Linked DNA regions of Caenorhabditis elegans. The protein of the gene in region 2 purifies or fractionates together with the protein of the main gene of each other region. This does not show direct contact. Each region holds a gene or a part of one and is shown on either strand. Other genes may lie near its edges.

What was found.
Region 1: the proteins of mbug-1 (region 2) and gly-5 fractionate together in Caenorhabditis elegans (co-fractionation; one large-scale study listed by BioGRID). This does not show direct contact.

Annotation. Positions count from the first base shown.
Region 1 is NC_003281.10:13,184,379-13,192,079, reverse strand, and holds the start of gly-5 (Polypeptide N-acetylgalactosaminyltransferase 5), read right to left. Parts: upstream 4,689-7,701; 5' UTR 4,630-4,688; intron 3,971-4,629; 5' UTR 3,945-3,970; coding exon 3,837-3,944; intron 3,782-3,836; coding exon 3,518-3,781; intron 1,953-3,517; coding exon 1,834-1,952; intron 789-1,833; coding exon 454-788; intron 1-453. UniProt on the Caenorhabditis elegans protein: Catalyzes the initial reaction in O-linked oligosaccharide biosynthesis, the transfer of an N-acetyl-D-galactosamine residue to a serine or threonine residue on the protein receptor.
Region 2 is NC_003282.8:12,971,122-12,978,068, reverse strand, and holds mbug-1 (CUB-like domain-containing protein), read right to left. Parts: upstream 4,446-6,947; 5' UTR 4,411-4,445; coding exon 4,350-4,410; intron 4,303-4,349; coding exon 4,074-4,302; intron 3,670-4,073; coding exon 3,560-3,669; intron 3,510-3,559; coding exon 3,308-3,509; intron 3,084-3,307; coding exon 2,968-3,083; intron 2,918-2,967; coding exon 2,772-2,917; intron 2,716-2,771; coding exon 2,654-2,715; intron 2,606-2,653; coding exon 2,506-2,605; 3' UTR 2,466-2,505; downstream 1-2,465. Other genes in the region: dod-17 (CUB-like domain-containing protein), read right to left, coding at 1-43, 92-237, 287-402, 752-953, 1,018-1,127, 1,417-1,645, 1,701-1,761.

The DNA of each region.
Region 1 (7,701 bases), on a different chromosome or scaffold from region 2:
ATTTTGCCCAAACTTTTCTTACCAAGCATCGAATTTTCGCATATGCTCAAATGAAAGCCTATGCAATTGTGTTTCACTTTTTCTTTTTTTATACTGCATTTTGTATTTTATTAGCTTCACAAAAATAAAAGGAGTTCACCAAAATTTGTCGTGACAAGACCAGGAAAACGGGCTTTTTACGTCGAAAAAATTTCCAGTAATTTCAAAATCGGGGCTAAATTAAATTTATCCAATACAGTTTTGGTCGAAAATTTAATTTTTACCTTCCATTTTTTGACACAAAATTGATTTTTTGTTGATTTTTTTTTTTTTGAAAATTTGTTTTATCAAGACCAGGAAAACTGTATTTTTTCGTCGAAAAACGTCGAAAATCGCGAAATTTCCAGTAACTCCAAAATCAAGGCTAAATTAAATTTATCCCGTACAAATTTTGATCGAAAATTTAATTTTTACCTTCCATGCACTCGCAATGTGAATCCAAATAAGTCAACACTTCTCCAGTAGCGACGGCAGCTCCACGAAGTCTTGCTCGAATCAATCCCTCACGCTTCTCCATTCTCAAAATCTTGACTTTTCCACCAAACTGTGACATGTATTCTTCCAACGGACGTTTCGTGTGATCCATATCCGAAAAATCATCAACCAGCACAACTTCTTCCAGTAAATGATCGGGAGTACGTTCAAGAACCGAGTGTACTGTTCTGAGAAGCACTGACCATGCTTCATTGTGGAAACAGATGATTACAGACGTTCGCGGCAGATTTTCATTGTATTTTTCGGTTTTACATCTGCAAAAAAAGAAATTAAATTTTTCCAAATATTGATTTTTTTTTCTTTGTTTCTCTAAAATTATTTTGCAGAAAAAATGCTTTTTTGTACAGAATTTTTTACTTTTTTTCCGTTTTTCTCTCAAAAATACAGAAAATTCGAGAATTTTTAAGTTTTTTTTTGAACTTTAAAATGTTTTTTAAGAATCAGAAAAAGATAAGAATTCCAGCCAAAAACTGCAAAAAATAGTCCACGTGTAGTACAAAATACTTCGTAAATCGACAACATTTTTGTAAAAGAAATTTCTAGGTTTTCCTATATTTTTTCTGATCAAAATGAGCAAAAATTTGAAAATTTTTTGGAATTTTAGCCAATTTTCAAAAAAAAAATCGTTTTTTTTCCGGAAAATCAAAAAAAAAATTGATTTTTTCTTTTTTAGGATTTTTTTAAATCGACTTCTCGTTTTTTTACAGATATTTGCAAGAAAATCGATTTTTCGATTTTTTTTAAAGGAAAATTATTTGGAATAAATCGATTTTTCGTTTACTTCAGTTTTTAGGGAAATTTAAAAAATTTTTCGATTTTTTGTTTTTTTTTAAACAATTGTTTTAAAAATTCGATTTTTTTTTCGTTTTTTTTTCGGAAAATGAAAAAACGTCGATATTTTCGATTTTTCGGAAAATCGAAAAATTTAGATTTTTTGTTCTTTTAGAACATTTTAAAAATTTCGATTTTTCATTTTTTTTAAGGCAATTCTTTTAAAAATTCGATTTTTTTTTTCGTTTTTTTTTTTCGGAAAATCAGAAAAAACTTCAGTTTTTTAAATGAAAAACAAAAAAAAAATTGATTTTTTCTTTTTTAGGATTTTTTTAATCGACTTCTCGTTTTTTACAGATAATTGCAAGAAAATCGATTTTTCGATTTTTTTAAAAAGAAAATTTTTTGAAAAAATTCGATTTTTCTTCTTTTTTTCCGGAAAATCACAAAAAAACTTCAGTTTTTTAGGGAAATTTAAAAAAATTAATTTTTCGATTTTTATGAATTTTGGAATAAAAAAAAACCCACTCAGCATCAATATTAGTTGGCAAAGTTCGATGTACTGATATCATATCAGATGCGTATTGATTAAAAGCGTTGTTGAGCATTCCCTTGTCGTATTTTGCCTTTTCTTCGGTCGATAGTTTCTGAAAATTAGAAAGAAAATAAAGTTTTTTTTTTTCGTTGATTTTAAAGGCAAAACATCAAAATTTCGAAAAAAAAAGAACTAATTTCCACTAGAATCTTAGATTTTGGGGGCCGAAATCGGCCTAAAATGACCTAGAGTGGCTAAAAAATGATCGCGAATTGGATAAAAATGACTAAAAATTACCCAAAATCACCTAAAAATTACCTAATGTGACCAAAAAAAAAAATGAAAATTCGGCCAAAAATTACTAAAATTTCTAAATTTTGCTAAAAATACCTAAACGGACCAAAAATAATCAGCAGTCGGTTGAAAATGACTACAAATTACCGAAATTGGCCAGGAATGTCGAAAATATTTCATATTTAAAATAACTTGATATTTAAAATATTTTAGACATCATTTTTAATCATTTTTGGCCAATTTTCGAAAATTTCCGAGCACTGAAGTGATTAAAAATGTCTGAAAAATGACCAAATTTGGCCCAAAATAGGCGAAAAATGACCAAAAATGACATAAATATTTAAAATATTAAATATTTTAGAAATTTTTATTCATTTTTGTCCAATTTCAGTCATTTTTGGTGATTTTGGACCAAATTTGGTAATTTTTTAGTCTTTTTTTTAATGACTAAGCATAATCGAAAATCGGCCAAAAATGATTAAAAATGACCGAAAATATGTACCGTATTTCTTCTATTAATATGGCTGCAATAATATTTTTCGATGGTCTTCCGCTTGCAATACTAATAGGGAGTGCAAGACTATTAGGGAGTGCAATACTAATTTTCAGAACATTTTCTGACTTTGAGCTTACTAGTTTTTTTCCTGAAAAAACTCGAATCTTATGTGAAAATTCAGAAAATTTGATTGTAATTGCAACAAAAAGGTACAATAACTTCAATTTCATAGAAATTTTACCAAAATTGTTGCAAAGTAGGCAAAAAATGTTGTTAAAATCTCAAAATTAGTAGGGTGGGTTTGTACCAAAAAAAAAAAGTAGATGCAAGACTATTAGGGAGTGCAACACTAACTGCAATACTAATTTTCGGAGGGTTTTCAAGGAGCAATACTAATAGGGAGTGCAAGTCTAATAGGGAGGCCATATTAATAGAAGAAATACGGTATATTATATACATTTTAATCATTTTCGGCAAATTTCGGTCATTTTTAGTCATTATTGGCCAATTTTCGGCAATTTCCGAGCGCTGAAGTGACTAAAAATTTCTGAAAAATGACCAAATTTGACCAAAAATGATTAAAAATCGGCCAAAAATGACAGAAATTGACCAAAAATGACCAAAAATAACCAAATTTGGCCTAAAATTAACTAAAATTACTTAAAATGATGGAAAATCAGCCAAAAATCAGTAAAAAATGACCGAAATTGCCCTAAAATGATTAAAAATCTATACGGAATATTTTCATTTTTAAAATCATTTTTGGTAATTTTTGGCCAATTTAAGTCATTTTTGGCTCATTTTTTTCGCAATTTTGAGAATTTGAGCACATTTTGAGTCCACAAGTTCAAAGAACCGTTATTCCTCAAGAATAATCAAATTCTCACAGTTTTATCGACGACAACTGCCTTTCCAAGCTCTCCGGCTTGCGCTGCGTCTCCTTTTTTATAAATCGGATCGTTCGGATCGACCATAAATTTTGGTTTGGCCAAGTTCCCGCCGGGTTGCTCTTCTTCTTCCACTTTATTATTCTCTACGACAGGTTCCGGCTCAATCGGCGGCCCAAATCCTTGAATTACGTCTTGTTTCGCGGCTTTCGGGTGGAAATTCGCCTCCGCAATTTTATTCGCGAGATCGTTATTTGATCCGATCTGAAAATGGGATTTTAATCACATTTTTATTTTTTTTATTTTTGATTTTTGATACCTGGCTACTATCATTGCTGGTTGCTGCGAAAAAAATCAACGAGCAAATCCAAAAAACTGGAACCAAGAGGAGAACTTTTAATATCGCCTTTTTCTTGAATATAATCATTTCTCAGCGGCAAAATCGACCCGTATCTGCAAAAAAATTAATTTTTGATTAATTTAATTGGGAAATTTCTCAAAATATTTCGATTCAGCTCAGTAAAAACCAGTAAAAACTAAATTTTTCGACAAAAACTCCAAATAAGGACACATCGTCCACGTGTAGTACACGGGTGGTGACCTAGAAACCGACAACTACGTACTACACGTGGACAAAATCGGTGGAACATGTTTTTGGCAGGAATATGATGGAAAAACTATAATTTTCAGGAAAACTAATAAATAGCAACAAAAAAATCAATAGAAATTCGAAGAAAAATCAATATTTTCTAGTTTGACCTCAAAATGATCAAGTTTTCAATGTTAAAACAGATTTTTTTAGTTAGTTTTTTTCTTTTTTTTTCTTTAATATTGTTTAATATGACACTTTTCAGATTTTTGCGTCAGAAATACAGATCCAGGTCTCGACACGACAAATCCTTGTACTCATTGAAGGTGTGCGCCTTAAAATTAATTTTTCAGCTTTTTGAAATTTACTTTAGATATTTGATAATTTAATAGATTTTCATCGAAAAACTAAAAAATCAATAAAAATTCCGCAAATGAACAAGTTTGAAATTACAGTACTCTTTAAAGGCGCACACCTTTTTTCAAACATTTGTCGTGCCGAGACCCAGGGTACCGTAACCTACCGAAAATCCTCCGTTTTATGCTTCAATATCCCTCAATTTTGATAATATAAGTTTGCTGCCTGAAAAAAAACGAATTAAATTGTGAAAAGTAGTAGTAGTATTGGAAATTCGAGTAAAACAAGGAAATTTATAATGCAAACTTTTTCGGACCCAAGGCATACTGAATTCAAATTCACATTAAAAATTTTAGGTTGACGTGGACAATGACGATGAGCAGCAGCATGCAAGGCATGTTAACGATAATATTTGAACAGTTGGGAAGGGAAGGGAAGAGGGTGTATAAGAAGAGAGCATAGAACAGAACCACTATCTTTTTTAGCTTCTCTAATACCTCTTACTCTCTCTCTCTCACACTATATTTACTTTTTTCGGTGGTTTCGGTCAAGTTCAAATGTGCTCGAGAACTGTAATGTTTCAAGTTCGCAATGAGTCACGATTTCGATTTTCCGTGTATCCTAGAAATTTTGTGAGAGAAATAGTTTTAAATGACTCCCTGATTCCGAATATCTAAGTGAAAAAATTCTAAAAAATTTCCCTGATATTATATTTCAGCTTAAAATCGCGATGTGTCGATTTACGAGATTTTCAATATCTTCATTTTCGTCGCTTTTTTCCAAAGTTTCGTTTTTTAAGGTCAATTAAATATTATTTTGCCAAAAAACTAACAAAATTTCCATTTCTTAGGTCAAAACTCGACGAATTCCACGGAATTCTGGCTGTTTGCCGAACTAGGCCATTTTGGGTCGGAGAGATTTTGTGTAGATTTACGGCGCGTTGCGTGTCGCGTCGCGGCTCGTTTTAGTTGTAAAACTGAAGTTTGCTGTCCGTGAGGAGTACACGACACTTTTCCACGCGCTGTCCGGCAGGCGATTATCAATGGAGCGCGAAAATTCAATGAGAAATGCCCAGAACCCCGTGGACGAAAAATCCAAATATATGCTTTTCCCGCCTAAAAATCACAAATTTTGTTAGTTTTTTTAATGATATAACAAAAAAAGTGACCTTAAAAAAAGCACAGTTTTTTTTTTCACTTAAATATCGGAATCAGGGAGTCATTTTAAAATTGTTCTAAAAAGATTTCGATACTCCACATTATAAAATTTTTTACGTCAAAAACATCATTTCCCCCTTATCATCCATCTTACCATTCACACCCATTTTGCTCAAACAGACGCCCACGCCCTTTGCATACTTCTCAAATGGAAACTTCTATTGATAGTGAACCCAGAAGACAAAAGAGAAACGTGGTCATAACTGGGGGGAGTTGTTTGCTGGTTAGAAGAGCCCCGGACGTGCTCAATTGAGCATGACGAATAGGTTGGAGAAGAGAATGTCAGAGACACCTACTTGTAGTGAGAGGGGAACGAAAATGTCTATAGGCTAGGCTAAACTACAAATCATCTTATTTTTTCGATTAATGAAGAAAAAAAATATTTCGAAAAGGGCTTATGTTTGCAATTTTACTACAAAAATTCTGGAATTTCTAGGAAAAATGAGAACGCGAAAAAAAATTATTTGAAAAATTCATTTGGCGCGGTGAGACCCTTTCCAAAATTACTTTGTGCGAGCGCCTTTAAATTGATCTTAGAAAAATTGTTATTGTTTTCTTATAGTTACTAAGTAAGTAAGTAAGTTCTACTCGGTCACAAATTAGCTATAAAAATCTGTAAATTATAAGAAAATTTGAAAAAAAAACATTATACAGTAATCTTAAAGGTGCATACACAATTTTAATTCGAATTCCCGCCGAAATTTTTCTGAAGAAATTTGAATTCCCGCCAAATTTTTTCCATAGTAATTTGAATTCCCGCAAAAATTTTTCCATAGAAATTTGAATTCCCGCCAAAATGTTTCTAGAGATATTCTAATTCCGCACGTGGTGTTAAAGTGTCTTATTTTGGTTCGATCTACAAAAATGCGGGAGAAGAGACGCAGACTTTTCAATTAATTTCTAATGGTTAAGAACGTGCTGAAGTCACATTTTTTGGGGAAAAAATCCCCCATTTTTGTAGATCAAACCGAAATGAGACACTTTGACACCTCGTGATTCCGGCCAACTTTTTTCTGAAAAAATTTGTATTCAGTTCCAAACAGGACACCAGAAAAGCACAGAAACCACGTAGCACCACACAAAAAAAACAAAAAAGGAAACAAATGAAAGCCATCTCACTCGACGACCCGCTTTCCGTTTATGCTAAAAAAATAAAACAACGTGTCACTTTTTTGCCTCGCGTCCCTTATTTTTATGTCTGACATGCTCTCTCGTCAATTTTTGCAAACATTGCAATTTACGAGCGTATATTGCGGAGCGGTCTCCTGCACCAAATACATTGTACAGTTTAGCAGAAACGAGGGAAGTGGAAACTTTGGAAGGGGAGCTATAAAAATTTGGGTACATTTGCGCTTTCACGCGGTGTCAGAGTGTCTCATTTTGGCTTGATCTACGTAGATCTACAAAAAATGCGGGAGATGAGACGCAGAGTTTTTAACTGATTTCGTATGGTTAAGAACGTGCTGACGTCACATATTTTAGGGCGAAAAAATCCCGCATTTTTTGTAGAGCAAACCGTGATGAGACAGCCTGGCCGCACATGCGCTTTCAGAAAAGAAAAGTATGAACCAGAAAGGAAAGAATTCCGTATTAGTCATTGGATGCTTTATTGTACAAAATTCAATGGAAGATGGATACGGTACTTTTTTTTGAAACACTAAAATTAATTTCCACAAGTCATAACTTATTAAAGGCACACGGATTTATTCAGATGGGTCTCGACGCGCAAAAAGTTTCCTTGTTCATTTTACTTGTATTTTTCCGTTTCAGCGAATTTTGCGCACCGAGACCCATCTGAATAAATCCGTGAGTCTTGAGATTACGATATTTACTCTTACTATTCTTTCAAATTTTTCAAGAATTATCGTAGAATTGAGTTTTTGTTGCGTATTTTAGAAGGTACAGTAACCCAAATTAAAATTCATAAAGTTAGATCGTGGCGAGACCTAAAACATAATGCACCTTTAAACTGATAAATTGCAATATTAATTTTTTGAATTTTTTTTGAATATTTTTTTTTC
Region 2 (6,947 bases):
TGTATGCGGCTGGAGAACCACGGTAAACTGTTAAGTTAGACTCCTGAAAAATTAGTAAGTTTAAGGGTATTCTTAAAACTTCGAACCCTACATTTATCATCTGAGCATCAATCATTTGCATATTGATATTAGCTACTGAAACAAGAGAAGACATCTGTGTCCCACCGTGTACCGTTCCATTATAGATCGAGTTCAATTGCGGCCGGAGTTCCACCATCTCATCGATTCCAGTCAAATCTGAGATTTTATTGCCAGTTGTGGTTGTTAAATTCACGCTCAAACTCACATCTGTTAGCTTGAACTAGAAGAATATCCTTGGAGAGACTAGCTTCAAGGTTCACTACAAAAATAGCGTTTTGGGTAGAAGCCCATTGTTTTTTCGTCTGGCAGAGAAGGTTGAGACTGTAATAATTCAAGACAATAATCATCAAAAAGTAAGCTGGATTTTATCTCTAAAATTTAAGTACAAAGATTTAAAAGAACATTTCGAATTAGCTCGGCATTTCTGAACAACTTTTGTTCAAATTTGAAATTTTCCGACCTCATTTTGTTTTTATTGATGTTATTCAATTTGTTGAAAATTAGTTGTGAAATTACCCTGATTTCTTCGAGTTTCATATAATACTATTTTCAGAACCGTCTTTGATTTATTGCCAAAAAGAATTTTTTATTTAACTGAAATAAAAAAAACAAGTATTCAATTTGTTTTACTTACGAGCAACTTTATTTTTTTCACGAATAAAATACCTACTTTGAAACATAATTCGCTGAACTCAAGCTTCTTCCCTCATACACCAACGCGCTTCTCAACGAAGAATAGCTCGTTTCGTTCTCAGGGAAAACCATCAAAGTGATGCCACCACCTTCACTGTATTCATGAGCATATACTGCATTTGTAGCATTTATAATCCATCCAGTCGGTCCTGTGCTGTATTCGAAATCTACTGTTGGAACTGAAATTCACAGATACTTGACAAATTGCTCATAACAATTTATAGAAATGTAGGGATAACTCACGTGGCCACCAAACAACTTTAAATGCAAAAGTAGCTGAACCTTCGTTAGCGACAGTGAGTGTGAATTTTGGAGCAGCAAAGTAATATGGTTCCATGTTTTCTTGAGTAGTCCTGAATTGGAAAAATTGAAAAACGTTGGATACATCATATGATCCACATAACGGGACAAGCTCATGAGCTTGTCTTTATTTCTCTGTTAACAAAATCGTATTAGCTCTACACTAGAATAATGTTATATAATTTGCTATTTTTTGCATCGAAAAAAAAAACAACCAGTCGTTTTCCAGACACTAACCAGTTCAACCAAAATTGTTTGATCATTTTACAAGACTTCCCAAGTTCACAGACCATTCCAAATACACATTTCAGATTTAATTTGCAGGTTAGCAAAATAACTCACCGAATAAGATTTCCTGCAGCATCCACAGTCTGGAATCGTGAATCTTTGTCAGTTGTCTTTCCACTGATTATCAGTTTTGCATAATATCCACGTGGAACTGTCACAATCCAACTGCAAGACTGCCCATTATCCAGCTGAGGAGCAGGCTGAGTCTCGTTCCAAGCAGCTGGCCAATATACAGGCGTACCATCAATTACAGGCTTGTTGACAGATTTTCCAAGTGTGCAACCTGAAATTAATTAATTAGCCAATTTCAAAATTATAACTTCTATAATTAGTTTTACCATTTCCAGCGGCCGAAATTGCAGTAGCAAACGCTAGACAGATGAATAGTTTCTGTAACATTTTGTTCGTAAGTCTGAAATTTTATCAAGTGCCCAAACGAAATATATAGAGCTTTTAGGATGATAATCAAAAAGTATGAAACTGGGCGTTTTGTCATCAAAAAAGTATTCAGCACTGATAACAAAAGTTTAAAGCATAAGTTTAGAGTGTAAACTGATGTAATGTCTCTTGGAGCGCAAGAGTTCAAGTATTTTTTCAACAAATATTTTCTCAATGCATACAGAATATTGATAGGAAGTTTCTCAGTGCTTAAACAGAGTTGCAATAAAAACTTCAAAATCATTTGTTCGAGTTTAATTTCTTGATCTTGGTCTAATGCTCCTTATCTTTTTTGGAATTTTCATTATTTGGTCTAAAACTTTTAGAATCATTTTGCTATAAAAAAGTTCTTTGAACGATATTAATATGCAGTTATCTTGAACAAAACTTGTAAAACATAGCACGTGGAATAACCACAAATAATAAAAATTTTAATTTTAAACTTCTAGGATACGTTTGAGTGAAACCTGAGTTGGATAATGCTAGGAGGAAACACGTGTAAATAATTTTGCAATTTTAAGAATCGAAAAAATGTTTGCTGGCTCTGAATTTAGTGAGAGGGTTTAATCTTCAACACAATGTTTTAAAACATGATTGTGTACGAGTTGCCAAGTTGCAAAATCGGTGGTCTTTGCACCAAAAGCTCAAAAGCTCTAAACAGTACATATGCATCAAATGTTCAAATTTTTATTTAAAAACAGTAAATCAACTTTTAAACGTGAATACAGCCTTGCCACTGCTGACCACAAACTGCACAAAATATCCGCCAAATGGCAGTGGAAGTGCTTTTTTCAGCTCTGCTCCTCTGAAATAATCAAGATTCTAGAATCGACTGTAGTTAAAAATAACATACGTGTAAGTTTTATCGAGAGTGAATGCGTCTGGAGATCCATAGTAAACTGAGACAGTGGAGTCCTGAAAAAAAACAAAATTTAGTTTGACGGAAAAAGTTCAACTTCATTAAACTCTACATCTTTCATCTGAACATCGATCATTTGCAATTCGAGATCAGATACTGCAACAAGTGAAGACATATGTGCTCCCGCGTTCACAGTTCCATTATAGATCGAGTTAGGTTGCGGGTGGAGTTCCACTATCTCATCGATTCCAGCCAAATCTAAATAGTTATGCTCTCACTTCAACGGCTGAGTTGCTGTTTAGACTCACACACGGATCCTTGAATAAGAAGTTTATTCATGGAACGACTGGCTTCGACGTTCACTACGACAATACCGTCTTGACTAGATGTCCATTGCTTCTTTGACTGGTTGAGAAGGAATAGACTGAAAATAATACATCCATGATGTCATGGCTAAACTAGATTTAACAAAACCATGCGAAATCTGTGAATACTGCAAACACACAGGCGGGTAGAAAAACAAAGTTAACAAAAATGCTTTAAAAATATCCAACTGGACAGCTGGAATGGGTACCCGAAACAAATTTCGACTTAGATTCTGGAGCACCTCCGAAAAAGGAGCAACTGATGAAAAGTCTTACAACTCACTTTGAAACATAGGTTGCAGAGGTCAAGCTGCTTCCATCATATATAAGTGTGCTTCTCAATGAGTTATAGTTTTTCAAATCTTCTGGAAATGTCAATAAAGTGATTCCTCCTGGTGCAGCGTATTCCATAGCAACAACTGTTTCTGTGACATTAATAACCTGCCCAATAGATGCAACAATATCAACATATTTTTCTGTTGGAACTGAAATAAGGAAAATATAAGCTAGAAATGCATAATACTGGTAAACTTACGTGGCCACCAGACAACTTTGAATGCAAACGTAGCAGATCCTTCATTGGAAACAGCAAGGGTGAATTTCGAAGCCGGGAAGTAATAAGGTACCATTTTTTCGTGGGTAGTTCTGTAAATATGAAATGCCATGAATAACTAAATTTTGAAACATTCAAAGAAGCTTAATTTAAAAAATGATATGATCCGAATGTGCGCAGATTCGAACTTTGATATTTGTTGCATATGCAACAAATTATGTAAAAAATTTAAATAAACATATCAAAAAATTGTTTCATGCTTATTTTTTATAAGCTGAAGCCTTACAAATAGCAAACTGAATATTTTATTTTATTCTATCAACTATTTTCAAGTACTCATTATTTCCTTAACAATTTCGGGAAAGGATCGAGCAAAATGCCAGCTATCACAGTTTTCAAAATATACAGACCAAACGCTATAAATTATTTGATTTACGAGATTTCCATGGACCATACTTTATATAGAAACACCATTTAAAATCCAAAAATAACTCACTGAATAAGATTTCCTGCAGAGTCTACAGTTTGGAATCGTGAATCCTTGTCAGTTGTCTTTCCACTGATTATCAGTTTTGCATAGTATCCACGTGGAATTGTCACATACCAACTGCATGATTGCTCCTTTTCCAGCTGAGGAGCAGGCTGGGTTTCGTTCCATGAAGCTGGCCAATAAACAGGGGTACCATCAATAACGGGCTTGTTGATTACCTTACCGATTTTGCAGCCTGAAATTTAAAACATTTCAAATTTCAAAATTTGAATTCAGTCTTACTGTTTCCAGCCGCCGAAACAAAAACAACCACAGTCAAGAAAGCCAATAGTTTTTGAAACATTTCAGAGTGAAATCTTGAAACTTGAAATTTTGCATATTCTGAGACTGATTATATACCAATTTTGGAAGATACGAAAAGGGCGTTGGATCATGAAAACGGTTATCAATTGTTGTTGATAAGAGAATAAGGAACACAAACTGATAAGGGATTAGTAGGTGGGATGACGTTTTGTAGCACCTCGGCAAATTGCCGCAACTTATTTACCAACTTTAGATACTTTAGAAATGCCAAGTGCAAAAGTTGCTAAAATTTGGTAAACAAGTTGCTAAAGTTGGGCAAATAGGCTAAAGTTGGGGATGCCCTCAAAATTTGCACTGAAAATTTTTCTAAAATTGGCTAAACTTGGTTAAAAAGTTGCTAAAGTTGGTGGATAAGTTGCAAAACGCTAAAGTTGGCGCTTAAGTTGCTAAAGTTGGTGTAAAAGTTGGGACGAAATGCCGAGACGAAATTCAGATCTAGATCGACTTCATTATCAGATTTCAGATTTTGAATGAAGCGAGATTTGTGGCGTAGTGCAGGTGGCGCTCAGCTACAATTAGATGTTTATGCTAGGAGCTTCTCTGTGTGTTTTTTTTGTTGGATTTTTTGATACCTCGCATGGTTACTTATCTTGCAGTTTTTTGGGAATTGTCAGCTTCCGGGGCGGTTTCCTCAACAGTTCGTATGTAAATGGTTTGATGGTCAAAGTTGCAGTACTACAGTCGTGCTGGTCGCAAACAGTTTGAAGCACATAAGTCGGACCGGAAATGTGCACGGTTTATCAAAAGCTAAATGACTTTTGAACGAGTGTGATGTGATGATGTGTTGTGTGATTCATGGGAGGCAGGCGCGGTTTCGCCTGCCCGGATCCCACTTCACAAGTTTTCCACGTGTATATTTGAAAATAGGAAGAGGCAGGTGGGGTCACCTAAAAGTCAGGCAGTCAGGAAGGCAAGCAGGCATTTTGGTGTCTGTATAACAGTCCTAGGTGCCAGTATAACTTTAAAACAAGAAATTCGAAACTCATGTTTTCTACTTGAGCCAAGAACATAACATATTGTTTTTTTTGTTCAAAAATCTAGAAAGATTCTTATAAAATCATACTGTCACATTGAAAATTTATTTTGGTGACTAATTTTTGATAACCCCATCTGGAAGTTTTAGCAGAATCTGTCCACGTTTTTTTCCGGGTACAATGGCGCTACCAATCCGTGCGATCTCCACATCTGATCTACAGAAAACTATAAGAAACAAAATGTGGTTTCTGCCGTTTCAAAAAAAAAAAATTACGAACTGTATGAGAAACCGCCCCCGGAAGCTGACAATTCCGCAAAAACTGCAAGATAAGAAACTAGGAGTACGATCAAAGAATCAAGATAACTCTAGTTATCAAATTAAACATTTAGTTGTGGATGAGTAGCTACACCTTGTAACAATATTTCTCTTCACACGCAGAAACATGTTGAAGCTGATATCTGTTAACCAGAAGAGGATCTAGACTTTGGTATACATGGAGTTACTTGATTTCAAATGACGCCACACATAAAAAAGATCCCTTATCAGTTTGAGCACTAAATTATCTTTGCAAAAACAATTGATAACTGTTTTATGAAAAAAAAACGCCCTTTTTCGTATGTTTCATTGGCTCCCAAAATGCGGTATATAAACTGTCTCAGAACATGAAAATTTCAGATTTCAATTCGAAATGTTCAAACGACTATTGACTTGCTTAGCCGTGGTTGCTGCTGTTTCAGCCGCCGGAAATGGTAAGATCGGTTTTAGGGATTCATATTTTAACGTAAAAATTACAGTCTGCAAAGTTGGTAAGGCAATCAACAAGCCTGTAATCAATGGCACGCCTGTGTTTTGGCCGGCTTCTTGGAACGAAACCCAGCCCGCTCCTCAGCTGGAGAAGGGTCAGTCGTGTAGTTGGATTGTAACGATTCCACGCGGATATTATGCAAAACTGATAATCAGTGGAAAGACGACAGGAAACGATTCAGTCATTCAAACTGTCGACTCTGCAGGAAATCGTATTCAGTGAGTTATTTTACAAATTTCAAGGTGGAATTCTCATAGAATCTACGCTTAGACTTGTTAGGCGCCAAGCACATCTGAGGGTTCATACTGTAGCCTCAGATCGATTGATCCTTGAAGGGTTGGGGCACCACGTACAAGGCCCGGACGCGGTTTTTTCCGCCATCAGTTTTCTACAATGTGGTGCTACAACGCTGCGGCATTGCAGTACTCATGGTTCATTTGTTCTGGCGTTTTATTGATTGATAAAGAATTGCGCTGAATAAGCGCAAACGTCTACAAGTTTGCCAGCAATCGCTTTAAACAACAAGTTTGAAGTTTGCGAAGTTTGAATATTCATAATATCAAATGTTTCCAGAACAACCCAAGAAAACATGGAACCCTATTACTTCCCAGCCTCAAAGTTCACCATTGCTGTTACAAACAAAGGATTTGCTACGCTTGCATTCAAAGTTGTTTGGTGGCCACGTTAGTTTATCGATATCGTAGATTCCTAGTTTATCTATTCCCTTTTCAGTTCC